Arabidopsis thaliana: one gene and its partners. The protein of the gene in region 1 purifies or fractionates together with the protein of each later gene. This does not show direct contact. Each region holds a gene or a part of one and is shown in the gene's direction. Other genes may lie near its edges.

Region 1 (7,796 bases):
GTATATATGCAGGTGGCTCGTGGTGGCGACGGGAGAGAATGCTGAGAAAGTGGTGCCGGAGTTTGAGGGTTTAGAAGATTTTGGTGGTGATGTTCTTCACGCTGGAGATTATAAATCCGGCGAGAGGTACCGCGGAAAACGAGTTCTCGTAGTTGGATGTGGAAACTCAGGCATGGAAGTCTCTCTTGATCTATGCAATCATGATGCGAGCCCATCAATGGTCGTTCGAAGCTCCGTAAGTAAAATTCAGTAAATTATACCCACCAAGTTACGAAAAACAGAGCACCCTGATTCTTAGTAGCTCCTCTGTTTAAAACAGAGCATCTGATAGTTATACTCTGTTTTTCCTTGTTCGATCAGGTTCATGTATTACCGAGAGAAGTTCTTGGGAAGTCGACGTTCGAGTTAAGTGTAACAATGATGAAATGGATGCCGGTTTGGCTCGTGGACAAGACTCTTCTCGTTCTCACAAGGTTACTTCTAGGGAACACCGATAAGTATGGGCTCAAGAGGCCTGAAATTGGACCGTTAGAGCTGAAGAACACCGCAGGTAAAACTCCCGTGCTAGACATCGGAGCCATTTCAATGATCAAATCAGGAAAGATCAAAATCGTAGCGGGAATAGCTAAGTTTGGTCCGGGAAAGGTCGAACTCGTGGATGGTCGAGTTCTGCAGATTGATTCAGTGATTCTTGCCACTGGTTACAGAAGCAATGTCCCTTCATGGCTTAAGGTAGACAAAAGTATTATCTTTTTCAGATTTTTGTCTCAAAAGATAACATTTTATAGGACCATAGAATACCGGTATTGATAGTTATGGGAAGTTTGATAAAAACTAAGACGTTGATTGGTGATTGATTTATTGTTATGCAGGAAAACGACTTGGGTGAGATTGGGATAGAGAAAAACCCATTTCCAAAAGGGTGGAAAGGGAAGGCTGGATTGTATGCGGTGGGATTCACCGGAAGAGGACTCTCAGGTGCATCGTTCGATGCAATGAGTGTAGCTCATGACATTGCCAATAGCTGGAAAGAAGAAACTAAGCAACAGATCAAAACTGTCGCTACTCGCCACCGTCGTTGTATTTCACACTTTTGATTTTCACTGTTTATACGAAAACATATATGAGAAGAGGTAAAAAAGAGAGGATCGATAGTGTTATGTGATGTGAAAATCAAAGAGATAAGCCCACTCCATGAGAGTATAACTGTGAAATGTGTTTGAGCTTATTTTCTTGTAAGGAGGATGTGGCTCCATGTATTTAACGTATTCTTTAACATTCCAACTTATCTTTTGTTAGCAAATGTGTTTGATTAGAGCTGATCTAGAAAGTTTAAAACATGATTAGTTTAAACAAAATATATGAACATGTGTCTGAAACTGATTTCGTCATTGACAGAAATAAGTGAATGAGGGAAAAATACCGAAAACATTCCTCCGTACCGTACCAGCAATACATGAACTGTGTATGTATCATTTCTCTTATTATACGATGGAAATATAGAGACAACAAACATCAAGGTTCTAAAATGCTTAAACAAACATTCATTCATCATCATCAAAAGGAGCCATTGAAATTTTACCAGACATCAGGACGAAGCTCTCCGGTAGCTGGAGGCATCCAACGACCAGAATTGTACACGTTTTCACCGACTTTCCATCCAGGAACATCCTTCATCACATCCGCCTCGTATTCTAGATACTTCTTCCACTCAGACACAAACCTATTTACAAATCAACACGTGGTGATCCAATGTGAGAGTTTGTACCACACAAGCAAACATAACTTCTTTTGTGAATCCTACCTTTCATCTTCTTCAGCTTGAAGAATCGGTAGAATTGCTCTACGTGCAGCGTACTTCTCTTCCTTCAACGCCCTATCATCACAGCAATCTTCATTAAAACTTTGGAGTTGATACATTGTGCTCATTTTGACACTTTTGTCATCATTATGCAATTGAGAGTCTAACAATAGAAGACTATTAGAGAATGTCACTTACACACACCAAGAAAGATAACACTGTGTTGTCTTATTCGTTGCAAATTACTCCAAATCGACACTAATCAAGCTAAATAACTCACAATGTGACCATCTAAAAACCAATATGCAACTAACCACTAGTATATCATCTTGCAATTTGATTGCTTTCTTCATCACAGCTCAAGAGATCGTTAATTAGTAACCAATTTCGAGACTAACCACACAAATTTATAAGCATCAATCCCAAATTGTCTTAAGATTCAATCCCAAATTACTCAAAATTTCACAATAGAGAAAAGCCTAACCAAACTCAAATTCCACATCTCATTATCTAATTACCTGCGGATTTTGTTGCCCTGACCAACTTGGTACATGCCCCAAGCAAAAGCACCGGAAACGGTAAGGAAAATAGCCATGGCGCTAGGTCCCGTGTTGGAGATCCGGCGAGCATATCGGACCGGCGCGAATCCACCAGGTGGTGGACCATCCTGAAGCAACGGCATATCCTTCACACTCGCCATTCCTGGCTTCTTCCTTATCATCGCCTCCGTCATCTTCTTCCTCGATTGATCCCCAAATCGATCTTTGATTCGTTAATCAGTGTGTGTTCTAGGGATTCTGAGAAAGACAATCAGAAATGAAATGAAATGAAAAATCTTTTTTTTGGTGACTTTTTTTTTAAAATGTTGTAATAATGAACTGGGCTTTAAAAGGCCCATATTAAAATAGTACCGGGTCAAAACTCGAACCGGATCCAAAACCGGAGGCTAAAACTCGACCAAGCAATGATGAGCTTGGAGAAAACGTAAAACCCTAAACCCTACTGCTTATAGAATCTTCGACGATCTGCTTCATTTCTCCTCATCTACGAGTGAGAGAATTTGTCAATTTAGCTTCTTTAGTTCGGTCTGATCTGAATTAATTGCAATCTTCTCGGTTGTGTGAGAGAATCAATCACCATGTATCGGCTTGTCTCCAACGTTGCTTCCAAAGCTAGGTAGATCTATTCGACTTTTTGGTTTTCTTTGTGTATATGATTCCAATGCTGCTTTATTTTCTGTGAATTTGTTTCTGATTGGATCCTCGAAATCGGAAAGTTGCGAGAAACTGTTGGGAATTGAATCGGATTTTGATCGGATTGAATTGAATATTTCTCTGCCATTGGAGAGTTTAGCATCTTCTATTTTCTTTGTATTTCTGGAAGTTGCTTCATTTATTGATGGGATTTATTTTTCTTTGTTTCAACAGGATTGCCAGAAAGTGTACAAGCCAGGTTCGTGTTCTTCATTTTGTATCTAATTTGTGGTTTAGCCGTTTGTGGGTATGTATTGATGTGAATTTGTGTATTGTTAGATTGGAAGCAGGCTCAATTCTACTAGGAATTATGCAGCAAAAGACATAAGGTTCGGTGTTGAAGCTCGGGCTTTAATGCTTAGGGGTGTTGAGGATCTTGCTGATGCAGTTAAAGTCACTATGGGACCCAAGGTATAAACTTATGTTTCAGATAATTTCTGTGTAAGAGACTTGTATTGTAAGTGAATCTAGTTAAAAATAGATAACGTGACGACCTATTGACAAGTATCAACAATCGTCTGTTTTGTTACCCTCACACTCTCTGATACTACATGTCTAAAACCATTTTTGAAGGGTCGTAATGTCATCATCGAACAAAGCTGGGGTGCACCAAAGGTGACAAAGGATGGTGTGACTGTTGCCAAGAGCATTGAGTTCAAGGATAGAATTAAGAACGTTGGTGCCAGTCTTGTGAAACAGGTTGCTAACGCCACAAATGACGTAGCTGGTGATGGTAAGTGTTCCCTTTCAATGGATTAAAACGTTTTTTCTGTTTTTGCTAATTGGGTTGTTAGTCTCCTATCTACTCATATTAATCGGTGTTTTTGTATCTGACAAAATATATGGTATGCGTTACAGGAACAACGTGTGCCACAGTCCTTACTAGAGCTATCTTCACGGAAGGTTGTAAATCAGTTGCCGCTGGAATGAATGCAATGGACCTAAGACGTGGTATCAAATTGGCAGTTGATACTGTTGTGACGAACTTGCAGAGCCGAGCACGCATGATTAGCACCTCTGAAGAAATCGCCCAAGTTGGAACAATATCAGCTAATGGAGATAGGGAAATTGGTGAACTGATTGCAAAGGCTATGGAAACTGTCGGCAAAGAGGGAGTGATCACAATTCAAGTGAGTTGAATTTTATCCCTAAATGTCAAATTATTTTGCTTATTCCTTAAGGTGACCAATGTTATCATCTCTTGATTCAGGATGGCAAGACCTTGTTTAATGAGCTGGAAGTTGTTGAGGGTATGAAGATTGACAGGGGATACATCTCCCCGTACTTCATAACTAACCCGAAAACACAAAAATGTGTAAGGATTCCCACCTTGTTACTTTATCAATTTAAGGAATTGCGGATTTAATTTGCTCTGAATGAATATGTGTTGCAGGAACTAGAAGATCCTCTCATTCTTATCCACGAGAAGAAAATTTCCAATATAAACGCAATGGTGAAAGTATTAGAACTGGCCCTCAAGGTATAAACAATTTGGCGATTTCTTCACTGTCAATAGTGTCTGATATTCATTAAGTTACTTTGATCTGAAGATCGAAATTTATTTTCACTGCCATTTTTCAGAAGCAAAGGCCGCTGCTGATCGTTGCTGAGGATGTGGAGAGCGATGCTCTTGCCACCCTAATTCTGAACAAACTTCGTGCTAATATCAAGGTTTTTCTTTTCAGCCTTTTGTTATTTGCCTTTTCCTTACAACGTCTTAGTAAAAAATTAATTTGATTGGATTGATGTACATGGTATTGCTTTATAGGTCTGTGCTGTGAAGGCCCCTGGTTTTGGAGAGAACCGAAAGGCCAATTTACATGATCTAGCTGCCCTCACTGGAGCCCAGGCATGCCCATGTTTCTTTTTATAATAACTGCCAAGACCATCACACCCACACTAATCGGATGAGCCATAATGTGTCTTTGGTGATTTCACTTTGTAGGTAATAACAGAAGAGTTGGGTATGAATCTAGACAACATTGACCTCAGTATGTTTGGAAACTGCAAGAAGGTTCGTTTGGTCCAATTCCTTCTGCTTTCTCTCTTTCTCCCTTGTACCTTCTGATAACTTGGTTTTCATTTGTTAACAGGTAACGGTATCCAAAGATGATACTGTTGTTCTCGATGGGGCTGGTGACAAGCAAGCAATTGGGGAACGATGTGAACAGGTTAGCGTGTTTTTCGCTTTTTTATCATTTAGTGGTTCAGTGTCATATACCTTTGCCCTTTTTTCCAACTGGTAGTTTTAATATGTTTTGAATTTTTATTAAACCACGCAGATACGATCCATGGTTGAAGCAAGCACTTCTGATTATGACAAGGAGAAGTTGCAAGAAAGGTTGGCTAAGCTTTCGGGTGGTGTTGCTGTACTAAAGGTAATGTACACCTCTTGTGAACATCAGACTAATAGGCTATTAATGCATTATTAGTTTATTACTAATGTCGAGATTACTCATATGGGTTTTTAGATTGGAGGAGCAAGTGAGACAGAAGTTAGTGAAAAGAAAGATAGAGTAACGGATGCTCTAAATGCCACTAAAGCAGCCGTAGAGGAGGGTATTGTTCCAGGTATAATCTATCCCAAATCTAAAACAAAATTTGGTTGAATCCCTTAAGAAAATTGCGTGAGAAGAGAATTATATTACTTTGTGTGTATTACAGGTGGTGGTGTTGCTCTTTTGTATGCTTCGAAAGAACTTGAGAAGCTTTCCACAGCTAACTTTGATCAGAAAATTGGTGTTCAAATCATTCAAAACGCACTCAAGGTGTTTCTCTCATCACATTGTTCATCCTCGCTAGCATAAACAGCTTCTAGAATCTTACACACAAAATCTTTCTTTGATGCAGACACCTGTTTACACGATTGCTTCCAATGCTGGAGTCGAGGGTGCAGTTGTCGTAGGCAAGCTTTTGGAACAAGATAATCCTGACCTTGGTTATGATGCTGCTAAAGGTTACACTCTTATATGCATTAGATAATTCACTTTCTATAGTTCTTGATCCACCTTGTTATATATTTCCCTATATTCCGAAATCTGAACTAGCTTCTTTTGGCATTTACTTTCAGGAGAATATGTGGACATGATAAAGGCTGGTATTATCGATCCTTTGAAAGTGATCAGAACCGCATTAGTTGATGCTGCAAGGTACACAAAGATTGAAAATTGGTTGTCCAATTTTGTATTTTATTGCAATGTTTTGCTAATTTATTCTATTGGTTAGTGTTTCGTCTTTGTTGACAACGACGGAAGCAGTTGTGACTGAGATTCCAACGAAAGAGGTAGCATCTCCGGGTATGGGCGGTGGTGGCATGGGCGGCATGGGTGGCATGGGCGGTATGGGAGGAATGGGTTTCTGAGGAGAACTATAAACCCTGAGTAGGGTTCTTTGGAATCTGTTGTGAGAGATGCTACGGTTGGTTCATCCACAAGACACTAATGTATTCTTTAATCATGATTGGTAGAGAGAGACCTTCAGATTTTCCGTGATTTTCAATTCACAAACGATTTATAAACTATTTTGAAGAAGATCCTTTTCCGATTCATGCAAATTTCTTCCAAAAATAATTCAGATTAGAGAGTTCAGTGAAACATCAAGTAGGTTGTGTTTGCGCATATGGAGGAGATTCCTTAGTTCTCGCCAACTATCACCAAACCCTTATATCTTATTAACACGATATTTAGCTGTTTATTTATATGTGGTTCAAGTAACAGACTACTTATTTCAAATAAAAAATGGAAAAAGCTTTTTTCATAGAACGAAACAAACGATATAGTGTAGTTTAAAGTATGTTACCCGAAAAAGAAAGCAAATCTACTTAACACGGTCCACAATTCGCGTGGTGAAGAAGGTTATAATTGGGTCCCAAAACATTCATTTCCCCCCAAAAAAAGTCATAATTATGAACCAAACTCTTTTTGTCTTCACGTCTTTGTCCGTTCCATAACCATAGCTTGCCCTACTTATTATAGCAGTAAGCCATAATCAAGGAAACCGTATTTGTATGTAACTTAATATTGTGGATTGATTACAGCTTGGAGGGAATTGATTCAATTTGGCCAGTTGGTCAAACGCAATGGTATAAGTCCACCGAACTAGATGGCAAAAACAAAAACAATTTGAGAATGTTCTTAAAAGTTCCAGTTCAAATGTGTTGTAAATAGTCAAATTCCTTTTACGAACGATATAAAAGTAGTCAAATAGAGATAGGGAATAAAGAAAAATACTTATCTAGATGATGAATTAGCTTAACGAGAAAACTATTAGTATCTGTTTTGGCAAGAAAATTTTATGTCTCGGTTGATTACACACACTTTTTAGTTAAACTACAAGTAATCAATCATAGATTTTACTTTAAGAAAGTTCCACAAACACGACGTGGCTGTCCATTATAACATAACCTCGTGGTCATGGAATGTTTCGTCTTATTTTATTTTTAATATTACACAATGTTCAAAGTTCTCAATTAGCAAGTTTCATGTGGTGTGATGAAAATCATTAACCATAAAAACCAACACTCAAGCGGAAATCCAACTCTCTTAAATTAAAATAATTCACTCAAAATTTTATTTTCATTTGGAGATAAAAATATAAATTGGTCAAAAGCAAAATAAAGATAGAGGTCATCAAATCGTACGGCTAGAAACAGAAGTGCACAGAGTTATTACGATGAAAACGTTACACAGAATCATTTTCATACACCAAAAGCTCTTTCTTTTTGTATTTTAAATCGAGTTTCG
Region 2 (6,833 bases), on another chromosome or scaffold:
CAAAACTTCATGTCGATCTGCGGTGGGAACAGTCTGCCACGGTGATTGAATATCATGAAATCCGAATTATCTGGTAAAAACACCGCCCTGCAAATTTTTTGAAAGAAACCAGTTAACAGGAGATATTCACTTTATCTAGCAAAAGCCAAACTCAAAACCAATTCAAGAACCTAATGTACAAAAAGGTAGGGGAGAGGCTGCGACATAGAAGGAACCAAAGTGGGTCTAAAGAGCCAATGAAACAAATATAAACTGATTGAATTAGCCAGGAGCAGAACTGGTTAAAGCTCTTGAAACCCATAATCGTAACTGGACCAAATATAAACTAGAAAATGTCCCTTTGAATGTCCTGCATTTTAGAAAACCTTAGCTGCACAAAGTATTAAAGAAACATCAATGTTTGACCTAGAACATCTCTAGACGACAGTTTCTTATCAATAAACATGAGTCTTTGGTGGTCATTCAATCATCGGGAAATATAATAACTACCAAATTTCCATGTTTCAGATTGATAAACACTGATGCACAACAGAGAGTTAAAGAGACATCAAAACTAGACCCTCGAAACATCTCTAGAGCACAAGTTCTTTGAATCAATTGATTAACAACACATCCGTAAACCTTCTCAGTCAAAAGAAAACATATTCACTAGAAACACCCATGATTAAACTGAATAATTGAACCAAATCTAGCCAGAAGATGCTTCTATAAGACCCGTAGTAACTCTACACCAAGTTCAACAAAGTACGAACAGAGAAAAATTCAATAGTAAAAACACTCACTAGATAACATGAATTCAGATTGATTAACACTGATGCAAAACAGAGAGTTCGAGAGAAACATGATCACAAACCTGTTTTCATCAGAATCCGGATGGATCGAGAGAAATTTACCAGGGAAAGTCAAAGCAGCCCACATACACAGAGCTAGTCCAATGATCAACTCCAGAATAACCTTAAATAAATCCAATCATGATTCATATAAAAGCATAATCATTGCTGATATAATTCAAACACAATTGAGGAAAAGAGAAACCGTTATCATTATATACTCACATTAATCGGTGGTCGAGAAAACTCTTCCTCCATAATCTTCAACAATCCTCTATCTGAAATAAACAAGAGAAACCCAAATCAAGATCCTATCTCGAAAATTAAAGTAGATCTGACTCAATTGGAACTGGAATTGGATTGGGAAGAGTAGACATACATTGGATTGTTGAATAAGCGGCATGAGAAAGAATAAGAACGCCGAAAACTCCAACTAAGAACCCCAAATTCATCTTTAGAAGTTCTCTTTTTTAATTTTCTTCTTCTCTAAGTTGATTCCCGATCTGGATTTTCTCGTCGAGTATTCTCCGTCGAGAATCGAACTAGAATAGAAGACGATCAGTGGAGTTTAAAACGGCATGTAGTTATAATATCGCAAATCTCAAAGTGAAAACGGCGCAACGTCTAATATCGAAGAGACTAACAACGGCGCGTAGTTCTAGATTGATGATATCCTAGATTCCTATTAATCTTTTGTAACCCAAACTTTTTTTTAAGTAACTAATATTTTTAATTAGATGAAAGTTCAGTTAGTTTGATAACTTTTTTACAACAATAAGGGTTTATCTTTTGGGAAAATAATTATTTTTTCGTATAATAAATAATTATGAATATTTATTTAGAATTTCATATTGATGATATATTCATATGCAAACAAAAATTTCTGCAATTATTGAATTGAATCGTATGTTGATAACTTCGTATAAAAAAAACGGAAATCTATTTTAGAACAAAGAAATCAAATGGTAAGATATTAAATTTCTATTTATAAAAAAGTAAGAAAAACATGTAGCTTGCTTTGGTACCGCTACCTAAGAACCTTCTATTCCTTTCTTGTGTTTGCTAAAACCAGAAAGTAAAACTGTTATCCTCACCTCTCTTTTACTTTTATTTTCAACTTTCCCCCATAACGTTTTTAATAAACATTTACGTACCCTCGCCACACTATTAAAATAAGTTTAAAATTACATCAAATTTTTTAATTCTTCATATAGGTAGATTTTTGTTTTGATTCTCGATAAATCATATAATAATATAAATTAATTGATATGATGTTAAGGGAACATGGGTGTATTTATCACAACACCTAGTTTTTGGAACTTTTCAAGATAAACTTAAAAGTTAAGGGTCGCTTATTTTTCCAACAAGAAGGAAATCACAGAGCGTATAAAATCCCGAGTTCAGCTCCCTTGAGATCCCATTCATCATCATCATCATCATCACCAATCGATCTCTCTAGAAACAAATTTCCCAACTTCCTTCTTAGAGCTCTCTTGTCAGTTTAAGCTATCATTATGTCAAACGAACCGGAATCCTCCGACTCGTAAGTACTTAGATCTTTGATTTTTGTTTTCCGATCATAAAGTTTCGATTTTTTTACTTGGGTTTTTCGATATTGAGAATAGGGTTTTTTAGTTTGATCTCATCTGAAAGCTGATTTTGTTTGTCTTCCTGGGGTATTTGTTTCAGGAAAACTAAGAAGGATTTCAGTACTGCGATTCTAGAGAGGAAGAAGTCTCCAAACCGACTTGTTGTCGATGAAGCTATTAACGATGACAACTCTGTTGTCTCTCTCCATCCTACTACCATGGAAAAACTCCAGCTTTTCCGAGGCGATACAATTCTCATCAAGGTTAGGTTTTGTTCCTTATGTCACTATGTTAGGGTGTTTTGAGTTTAGACTTGGTTTGGATCGTCTGTGTCTTGACTGTATATCACGAGCATGTTGTAAACATATTCAGTTATGTTTTTTACTTTGTCTGATCTTGTAAACATATTCAGTTAGGGTACAACTTTTTTGTCTGAAGTTTTTTTTTTTGAGTTTAGAATTGGTTTGGATTGTTCTTTTTATCTCTGTGATTACTTACTTGATTGGGGTTTTGGATTTTCAGGGTAAGAAGAGGAAGGACACTGTATGCATTGCCCTCGCTGATGAAACATGTGAGGAACCCAAGATCAGAATGAATAAGGTTGTAAGGTCTAACTTGAGGGTTAGGCTGGGAGATGTTATTTCTGTTCACCAATGCCCAGATGTCAAGTATGGAAAGCGTGTTCACATCTTGCCTGTTGATGATACAGTTGAAGGCGTTACTGGAAACCTCTTTGATGCTTACCTGAAACGTAAGTTTGCTTTAATCTTTTGATTCTCTCTTTCATATCATAGTCTAGCTTGTCTTTTGGAGTTCGTGTTTTCTAAACTTATATTGTTTTTTTCACCAGCTTACTTTCTGGAGGCGTACCGTCCAGTGAGGAAGGGAGATCTTTTCCTAGTGAGAGGAGGAATGAGGAGTGTGGAGTTCAAAGTGATCGAGACTGATCCTGCTGAGTACTGTGTGGTGGCTCCAGATACAGAGATTTTCTGTGAGGGTGAACCAGTTAAGAGGGAGGACGAAGAAAGGCTTGATGAGGTTGGTTATGACGATGTTGGTGGTGTCAGGAAACAGATGGCTCAGATTAGGGAATTGGTTGAACTTCCCTTGAGGCATCCACAACTCTTTAAATCAATTGGTGTGAAGCCACCAAAGGGAATTCTGCTTTACGGACCTCCTGGATCCGGGAAGACTCTTATTGCTCGTGCTGTGGCTAATGAAACCGGAGCATTCTTCTTCTGTATCAATGGACCGGAAATCATGTCGAAACTAGCTGGTGAGAGTGAGAGCAACCTCAGGAAAGCATTTGAGGAGGCTGAGAAGAATGCCCCGTCTATCATATTCATTGATGAGATTGACTCTATTGCACCAAAAAGAGAGAAGACGAATGGTGAGGTTGAGAGGAGGATTGTCTCTCAGCTCCTTACGCTTATGGATGGACTAAAATCACGTGCCCATGTTATTGTTATGGGAGCAACAAATCGTCCCAACAGTATTGATCCGGCTTTGAGAAGGTTTGGAAGATTCGACAGGGAAATTGATATCGGTGTTCCTGATGAAATTGGACGTCTTGAAGTTCTTAGGATCCACACGAAGAACATGAAGCTAGCTGAAGATGTTGATCTAGAAAGAATCTCCAAGGACACGCATGGATATGTTGGAGCTGATCTTGCAGCTCTATGCACTGAAGCTGCCCTTCAATGTATCAGAGAGAAGATGGATGTGATTGACTTGGAAGATGACTCAATTGACGCCGAAATCCTCAATTCCATGGCTGTGTCTAATGAACACTTCCACACTGCTCTTGGAAACAGCAACCCATCCGCCCTTCGTGAAACTGTTGTGGAGGTTCCAAATGTCTCCTGGGAGGATATTGGAGGTCTCGAGAATGTTAAGAGAGAGCTTCAGGAGACTGTTCAATACCCTGTGGAGCATCCAGAGAAATTCGAGAAGTTTGGTATGTCTCCATCAAAGGGAGTTCTTTTCTACGGTCCTCCTGGATGTGGTAAAACCCTGTTAGCCAAAGCTATAGCAAACGAGTGCCAAGCAAACTTCATCAGTGTCAAGGGACCCGAGCTTCTCACAATGTGGTTTGGAGAAAGTGAAGCCAACGTCCGAGAAATCTTTGACAAGGCTCGTCAATCTGCTCCTTGTGTTCTGTTTTTCGATGAGCTAGACTCCATTGCTACTCAGAGAGGGAACAGCGCGGGTGATGCCGGCGGTGCAGCTGACAGAGTGTTGAATCAGCTTTTGACAGAAATGGATGGAATGAATGCAAAGAAGACGGTATTCATTATTGGAGCAACTAACAGACCGGATATCATAGATTCAGCTCTTCTTCGACCTGGAAGACTCGACCAGCTTATCTACATTCCTCTACCTGATGAAGATTCCCGTCTCAATATCTTTAAGGCCTGCTTGAGAAAATCTCCCGTCGCTAAAGATGTAGATGTTACTGCACTCGCAAAGTACACTCAGGGATTCAGTGGTGCTGATATCACCGAGATCTGCCAGAGAGCTTGCAAGTACGCCATCAGAGAAAACATCGAAAAGGTCAGTGATTTGATTACCTCCTGAAACATGTGATTAAGGAACCTTAAGTGCCAATTCGTTTTAATTGTTCTAATCTTGACCCTTTTTTGTGTGTTTTGTTCCTCAGGATATTGAGAACGAGCGTAGAAGGAGCCAGAATCCAGAGGCCATGGAGGAAGATATGGTGGATGATGAAGTTTCAGAGATTAGAGCTGCTCATTTCGAAGAGTCGATGAAATATGCAAGGAGAAGTGTGAGTGATGCTGATATTCGCAAGTACCAAGCTTTTGCTCAGACGCTGCAGCAATCCAGAGGGTTTGGATCTGAGTTCAGGTTTGACTCAACCGCTGGTGTCGGACGCACCACTGGTGTTGCAGCCGCCGATCCCTTTGCCACTTCTGCAGCTGCAGCTGATGACGACGATCTCTACAGTTAGATTTTGATTTCTTAGTGATCGTTTTTCTTCTTTCTTTAACTTAAATTAGGTTCTTTTGGATGATGTCGAGATTGATACAGTTTAAAATCATCTGGGTTTGCCAGCTTATAATCACTTGAGCAAATTATTTCTATGTTTATTTCATTCACAATGCCTTTGATCGGTTACTTAACGTTAATTTCTTAGGAAGTTATAATATACGAGAAAAAAATCAATCGTTGGAACCGTTAGAATTTGGAACGTTAACAAGCTGAATAAGGAAATGATCAAAATTTTGTGTATTTTATTTAATTTGTTAATTCTGTTTTTTTAAAAGAAAATTTTCTTTCTTTCAAAGAAGAAAATAATATTATTGTAAGGCTTTGAAGCTGTGAGCTCTGTTCAGCATCCTCTCTCTCTCTACGAAGGGACTATGTCTAAGAACATCTCTCTCAAGTCAATAAATATTAATGTAACCCAGTGATGATGATCCAATGGTCTGTCTAGTTTCCGAAACGCCACCATTTTCTCTTCCTCTGTAGCTCTGTTTCAGATGTATCTGAACACCAAAAAATATGGAGAAGAAGAAGAGAATTAAGATGAAGAGGAAAGAAGCGAAACATAGTCTGTGAAACAAAAGGTTTCTCGAAGTTACCTCTGTTTAAGTAGATGGCGTTGTAATGAACCTCTGCCCAGAAGCTCAAGAAGATTACTGCAGACAACAAGAGCAAAATAAAAGATCACTGTAATAACCAGCAAGAGAGAGGTATAGTAGACAAACAAAATTTACAGTGAAAGAAAACTCTTTACCTCCTTTGGATTCTTGGGAGGTAGGAAGAATTTCAATGTAACATGTATCTTTGAACGATGTTAGGACTACTATTTTCACCCGATACTGCAATATTAAAAAGTTTCACCAAACTGATTAACTATGAACTGAGGAAAGTAAAAGGAAGATCACTGCATCTTTTTTTTACAAGATTTAAGAATGAATACCGCATCTGCAGCTGCCTGTAATGTCACATGATCGCCCCATTCGCCGCTCCTGTTCCAAATTTTAACACTAGGCTTTAACAAGAGAATTGGCAGCAAATGCGGTTATGGAGTTCACTAAGAGAAGATATTTTACCGAGACATCTTTCTTAGATAATCAGAGAAGTCCATAGGAACGTATCCTTGATAAGAATCTGGACGAGATTTTAGCTAAACCAGAAGATGAAAATTGAAAAAAAAAGAATGAGTTCATGCAACTTATGGAAGCTAGCAAAGATTCTCAAGAGCAAATAGATCACCAAACCTGTTTTACTATTTGTCGTCGAACATGTTTATGGCGATCTGCGGTTTTGTACAGTTGATCAGCTAAAGCACGGAACTGAAAAGAAAAAATCGGGAGAGAGCATTCAAGATTCAAAATGATGACTCAGAATCTAACTAATTCTTCCAGAACGATCTGCGTATGAAGAAGTA
Region 3 (5,696 bases), on another chromosome or scaffold:
ATTTCGATATGGAGAGTGAGTTAAGGAGAAGTGTGTCTGAATCTAAAGCTCCTTTATGGGATGATGAAGACGACAAGATCAAGTTTTGTCAAAGGTCTGAACTTAAAATCTTGACGATGGTGAAAAAAAAAATCTTGATGAAATTATGAAAATTGAAAAGTTGAATTTTTTTTGAAGGTATCAAAGAGAAGAGGCCAAAATTCAAGCATGGGTTAATCTTGAAAACGCTAAAGCCGAAGCTCAATCTAGAAAGCTTGAGGTATGTGTATGTGTATACGTATATTTTGTTGAGATATACGGTGTAGAAATACGGATTTTGTTATGTTCTAACGGAATTGTGGAGCCACGCGCCAATATTAGAGTAATGTTCGGAGTCCTTTACTTAGTTTCATTGACTAGTCTTTGTTGCTTTATTAGGCAAAAGTCTTTGAGTTTCTAATTTTAAAATTGGGATGACATCTTTGTAGCCTGTACTTGTAATTTGTGCAAGTCCCATGTGAAAAGATTGATTTACTCTCTTGGGAAATTGGAGTCTTAGATTAAATTATCAATCATCTATCATCTAGCTACATAATTTGGATTAAACTTTAAAAATAAATGTAGCTATATTGAAATGATTAATTTTCAAGAATTAATGTCTGCGATTTTGGTGGTTATGTAGTAGCTACATGATAGTCGTACTTGTAATTTGTGCAAGTCCCATGTGAAAAAATTAGTAATTTCCTCTCTTGAGAATTTGGAGACTAAAATTTAATTATTAACTATTAATCATAATTATCTAGCTATATAATCATAATTAATAGTCCATAAATGTAGTTGAGTGATGAAGTTTTAAATAATTAATGTGTGATATTTGGGGTGGTAATTATTGTTGTAGGTGAAAATACAGAAGATGAGATCAAATTTAGAGGAGAAATTAATGAAGAGAATGGATATGGTGCACCGGAGAGCAGAAGATTGGAGAGCTACGGCGAGGCAGCAACATGTTGAGCAGATGCAGAAAGCGGCCGAGACGGCGAGGAAATTGACAAACCGCCGAGGCTATTTGGTTACCGGCCGTAGCTCATGTGGTTGTCTACCTTGCAATAATACTTGTCATTAACTCAGTCAAAGTAAAAGAGAGTAAAATACACATAAACAAACACAAGAAATTACTGTTTATGTGTTTCAATTATCAACATGTATGTTCGTTTATTGTTTATGCAAGAAAGTAAAAAGCCGATATGGAATAACGAATCGCAAAACTTCTTTTCAAAAAAACGGATTTTTTTCTGTAAATTAATTTGCAGAATTAAACGAAAAAAAGTTGAACATAGAATTGTAATTTTGTGCGTTGAACTTGAGTGGTATAAAATAAGTGTACTAGAACTTTTTTTTTCTTTCATCTGAAACTTGTTTTGGAACCATGGTGAAATACAAATTTCAAACAAGGGAAGCTAAGCCGATGGACGAAAGAAAAGTCATCGGAAACTAAAGTCGACGTACGAGAGAAAAGTCCTTGAAAACTAAAGCTGGAGGAAAACGTAAATTTTTTGGAGTCTAAAACCCTATAAAGGGGAAACATGAACACATTACAAAACAGAAATTTTAAAGCCTAAATCGAAAGAGATCGAAACCAAAACCTAAACATAAGTGTACTAGAACAAATCACTAGAATATATAAGTTTTTTTTTTTTTTTTGGAGTTCTAAAATTGGTAGGAAAAAACACAAACACTAGTGAAGACTATTTCCATTAATATATATAAGGAGTTTTGTTCTTGTTGTCTTTTAGTAACGAAATTCGAATAGTTGTTATCATGCAAAAGTGTTTAGAGAAATAAGAGAGACTGACCAAAGACAAACTTTTGCGTCTGGAAGGAGAAGAAGTCTCGCAACAAGTCACAGCTTTTCATCGTTCCCATACTTTTACGAGACAACACTCTTTCAATTATTTTGTACTTTTCTGTTTGGTTTTATTCACTAAAACTAATTATTTCTAAAAAAAACATTTATTTGTGTACAGCAAAAAAATAATAACCTGGACTGCCAATTTTTGTCTTTTTCTTTTATTGTTACACTTAACTTCTGACATTGAGATAAATTGGAACATGTTCAAATTCCAGTCAGTTCTATAGCTGTCTCATAATTTTTCAAAAATACAAAGAAAGGCCTAATTGGGTGACCCAGGCTTAATATAGTTAGGCCCATGAAAGCCCATTATAAAAAACGCTGCGTTTAGAAACAATCTAACTTGTTCTTCAAGAAGAAGTGCGTCTTTGAAAGCTAAAAAGAGAGCAAAAGCTTCTGTTTATTCTCCGATTCGCAGATCAATTAGCTGGTTTGATTCTATACTCTCAACAAGTTCATTGTGATGATTTTTATTTTCTCTGAATCTCTGGATTAACTCAGATCCGTTGTTTTTCTAGGGTTTTGATTCCGTTGTGCGAAGGACTTTAAGAGGTTTTGCAGATCGAAATCGGAAGAGAAGAAGAAGATGTTTCTCACTAGGTATCTCTATCTACTTCTGGGTTCATTGAAATTTTCTTCCTTTACTTCAATCGTTTGTTTTGCTTATGGTGGTTTCTGATTTTGTTGTGCGAAGAACTGAGTATGACAGAGGAGTGAACACTTTTTCTCCAGAAGGAAGGCTATTTCAAGTGGAATATGCCATTGAAGCTATCAAGGTAACTTTTCGATTCCTCAATTTGTTAGTTTCCTATGGAAATCGAGAAATTTTGAAGAAAGGGTAATGGTTGATTTACGGTTTTCTTTGATTGCTTTAGCTTATTTGCACAAGTTCTAGCTCACATTTCCTTGTTTAATCGATGTAGTTTGCATTTCAAATTTGTAAAAGGGATTGTTGAATTTTGTTGAGACTCTGATGAGTGTTGAATTTTGTTGCAGCTTGGTTCTACTGCAATTGGAGTAAAGACAAAAGAAGGAGTTGTGCTTGCTGTCGAGAAGCGTATCACGTCGCCATTGCTGGTTTGCTTGCTAACTTTGAATTCTATGTTTTTCAGAATTTTTCTTGTGATTCACTATTTTGGAACAATTTGAATTGAATCTGATGATATGATCAAGCAGAAGCATATAAGCTTTCTATGTTAGTTATGGTGATATTAGCTTTCTCAGTATATGTTAAATGCTTTTTCTTTTTCCCCAGGAACCGAGCAGTGTGGAGAAGATTATGGAAATTGATGACCATATTGGTTGTGCTATGAGCGGTTTAATTGCTGACGCGCGCACACTTGTTGAGCATGCTAGAGTTGAAACTCAAGTAAGGTTTCTGTCTCTAGGGTCTTTTCTTTTAGCTTCAACAGGTCTTTTATGTGTTATTGACGGCTTCTTTTGCTCTTGTACAGAACCATAGATTCTCGTATGGTGAGCCGATGACTGTAGAGTCCACAACACAAGCACTGTGTGATCTGGCTTTACGGTTTGGTGAAGGAGAGGAAGAATCAATGGTAATAATCAAAATTGGAATTACTGATTAGAACAAAACCTTGATAAGTTGGATATCCATATTTAGTCGTTGTATTGTGTGTACTGATTCTCTTTGTCATTAATGTGACTACAGTCTCGGCCGTTTGGAGTATCTCTTCTCATTGCTGGCCATGATGAAAATGGACCAAGCTTGTAAGTTCTCCTTCAGTTGGATTTCTTCTACTGAAATGGTTCACTTGTGTAAGTTAGTTTATCTTCTTGTAAATGACTCTGTCTTGTTACAGGTACTACACTGATCCTTCAGGAACATTCTGGCAGTGCAATGCAAAGGCAATTGGTTCAGGTTCTGAAGGAGCTGATAGCTCTCTTCAAGAGCAATTCAACAAAGTAACTTGAACTTTTTCCCAATTGTTTTTCAATAAATTATTTGATTACATCACTTTATTTGCCATTAAAACCTTTAGTTTCATTAACTTGTTGCAGGATTTGTCTCTACAAGAAGCTGAGACTATCGCTGTATCTATCCTAAAGCAAGTTATGGAAGAAAAGGTACAAATTTTACAATCCAAAACTGTAAACAGAAGTTCTTGCTCAATCTAATTGTATTGGTTGGTGATAGGTGACTCCAAATAACGTGGATATTGCCAAGGTAGCACCAGCTTATCATCTCTACACTCCACAAGAAGTCGAAGCAGTCATCGCTCGTCTTTGATTGAAAAAACTCAATTTGGGTAATTTACCTATCAGCTTGTGTCACAAAACTTGTTACTTTTGTCTGTTAGATTGAGGATCATGTCACATTTTAGTCGGTTGTGTAAGAGAATCTTTTGGCTCCCATGTCATTCAATAACCTTTCGGATTTGTGACTTATAAAATTTCCTTTCCTACCACTTACGTTTTGTTACTTGCTCTTCGACTTGGCTTTGTCCTGACTATATGGATAGATTTATTCTGGCTTGCTCCACAAGTTAATCTTGTTTATTCTGGTTTTGTTTAGTGTGGATAGATTAGTATTGAGTTAGATTTTTGTTTAGGAGCCGGCTCCTAATTAATCGCCATCAGATAATTAGATTTTTATCGGATTTATGATCATCCCGTTTGTTAGTAACATCGTCGACAATGTCCCGATGACAAGGATATGAAGGTGAGTAATGGTTAGTAACAGTATCATCGTTGTGTTATAATTCGAGTTCAAGGTGTGAGCTACAAAAAGCGAGTAGCTTTGATAGTTCTACATCAAGAAGATATCGTATTAGGGGATACACAAAATACAACTATGTTGGAAAAAATTACAGATCATGCATAAGTGTCAAACAAATATAAAGTAGATCACAACCGGATGTTTTCAAAAACAAGCTACGAATCCAATTGTATTGTCACTATATTAAGATAGCTGATTGATCACTCCTGTTGCCGGTATCCAATCAGCTCCGTGTAAAAGCGTAGCCACTGTAAACTTCGCAGCCTCGGCGTCCGACATAACCGGTTTATATCCAGCCCATTTAACTCTCTGCGTTACATCTGAACCCGGGCCCGTATTCTTATACTCTCCGTAGACAATACTTGCTGGTGGATCAACTCCAGAAACCCATGACATCCACCCGGACGGTCGAACCACTGCTCCAATCACCGTCTCCATAATAACCGTCGTGGAAAACTCCTTCCACGGCCGGCCAAGATACGTGGGAGCAATCACATTGCCGTTTGCGGAGATAGTGCATCGTTGAATCGACATCCCCGAGCTTTGGTTCGGATCTTTTTTGCCCTGAGCGGTTATGGTGTTGAATTGGTTAGAAAGAGGCTGGCGAGGCATGATTTTGCAGCCTTGGAAAACGACCGCAGCACTTCCGAAAATGAAGTCGATTGTCCCAGTAACGTCGCAGTCACGGTAGAATTGGCGGTTGGAGTGAGGGTAAAGAGTGTCTTGAAAACCATCGAATGAGCATTGGTAATAGACTGAGAAATCAGAGCCTGATCGGAATGCCACAGCTTGGTGTTTTGCTGCTCCCGCGGTGTTTATGATTCCAATATCCTTCATTATAAATCCTTTGCCTTGTATAGCTGCATCAAAAGAGAAACTTAACAACCATAGCTAAATTGGTAAACTATGTAACAATGTCAAGTCTTTTTTGTTCTTACCTAAACCAAATCAAATTTGACCTCTTCACTAATCTTAACAACTTAATCAAAGATAATAATAAGGAACAAGGGAAGAAGAGGACTCACCAAACGTCGCCGTTTCGTAAGTAGGAGTCCCGTCGACGAAGTTCTT

Evidence for each region. The genes of interacting proteins can lie anywhere in the genome.
Region 2: the proteins of HSP60-2 (region 1) and AtCDC48C fractionate together in Arabidopsis thaliana (co-fractionation; one large-scale study listed by BioGRID). This does not show direct contact.
Region 3: the proteins of HSP60-2 (region 1) and PAE1 fractionate together in Arabidopsis thaliana (co-fractionation; one large-scale study listed by BioGRID). This does not show direct contact.

Annotation. Positions count from the first base shown.
Region 1 is NC_003071.7:14,073,712-14,081,507, reverse strand, and holds HSP60-2 (heat shock protein 60-2), read left to right. Parts: upstream 1-2,735; 5' UTR 2,736-2,939; coding exon 2,940-2,977; intron 2,978-3,228; coding exon 3,229-3,253; intron 3,254-3,333; coding exon 3,334-3,465; intron 3,466-3,627; coding exon 3,628-3,787; intron 3,788-3,912; coding exon 3,913-4,184; intron 4,185-4,264; coding exon 4,265-4,369; intron 4,370-4,447; coding exon 4,448-4,534; intron 4,535-4,635; coding exon 4,636-4,725; intron 4,726-4,822; coding exon 4,823-4,903; intron 4,904-4,999; coding exon 5,000-5,068; intron 5,069-5,147; coding exon 5,148-5,225; intron 5,226-5,336; coding exon 5,337-5,432; intron 5,433-5,525; coding exon 5,526-5,625; intron 5,626-5,718; coding exon 5,719-5,822; intron 5,823-5,904; coding exon 5,905-6,010; intron 6,011-6,124; coding exon 6,125-6,203; intron 6,204-6,279; coding exon 6,280-6,415; 3' UTR 6,416-6,741; downstream 6,742-7,796. Other genes in the region: YUC7 (YUCCA 7), read left to right, coding at 1-235, 361-732, 873-1,097; AT2G33220 (GRIM-19 protein), read right to left, coding at 1,007-1,103, 1,583-1,723, 1,805-1,876, 2,320-2,534. UniProt on the Arabidopsis thaliana protein: Implicated in mitochondrial protein import and macromolecular assembly. May facilitate the correct folding of imported proteins.
Region 2 is NC_003076.8:808,645-815,477, reverse strand, and holds AtCDC48C (ATPase, AAA-type, CDC48 protein), read left to right. Parts: upstream 1-2,184; 5' UTR 2,185-2,344; coding exon 2,345-2,373; intron 2,374-2,519; coding exon 2,520-2,682; intron 2,683-2,941; coding exon 2,942-3,170; intron 3,171-3,269; coding exon 3,270-4,972; intron 4,973-5,076; exon of another isoform or gene 5,077-5,078; coding exon 5,079-5,387; 3' UTR 5,388-5,648; downstream 5,649-6,833. Other genes in the region: AT5G03345 (membrane magnesium transporter-like protein), read right to left, coding at 763-954, 1,056-1,104, 1,206-1,282; AT5G03330 (Cysteine proteinases superfamily protein), read right to left, coding at 5,870-5,925, 6,022-6,078, 6,177-6,261, 6,363-6,411, 6,496-6,569, 6,664-6,738. UniProt on the Arabidopsis thaliana protein: Probably functions in cell division and growth processes. Interacts with certain SNAREs as part of specialized membrane fusion events where vesicles from the same organelle fuse (homotypic fusion).
Region 3 is NC_003070.9:20,102,571-20,108,266, reverse strand, and holds PAE1 (20S proteasome alpha subunit E1), read left to right. Parts: upstream 1-2,189; 5' UTR 2,190-2,318; exon of another isoform or gene 2,319-2,406; 5' UTR 2,407-2,474; coding exon 2,475-2,488; intron 2,489-2,582; coding exon 2,583-2,664; intron 2,665-2,884; coding exon 2,885-2,965; intron 2,966-3,143; coding exon 3,144-3,257; intron 3,258-3,342; coding exon 3,343-3,444; intron 3,445-3,557; coding exon 3,558-3,616; intron 3,617-3,708; coding exon 3,709-3,811; intron 3,812-3,907; coding exon 3,908-3,973; intron 3,974-4,043; coding exon 4,044-4,136; 3' UTR 4,137-4,511; downstream 4,512-5,696. Other genes in the region: AT1G53860 (Remorin family protein), read left to right, coding at 1-94, 178-259, 878-1,102; PME1 (pectin methylesterase 1), read right to left, coding at 4,809-5,485, 5,651-5,696. UniProt on the Arabidopsis thaliana protein: The proteasome is a multicatalytic proteinase complex which is characterized by its ability to cleave peptides with Arg, Phe, Tyr, Leu, and Glu adjacent to the leaving group at neutral or slightly basic pH.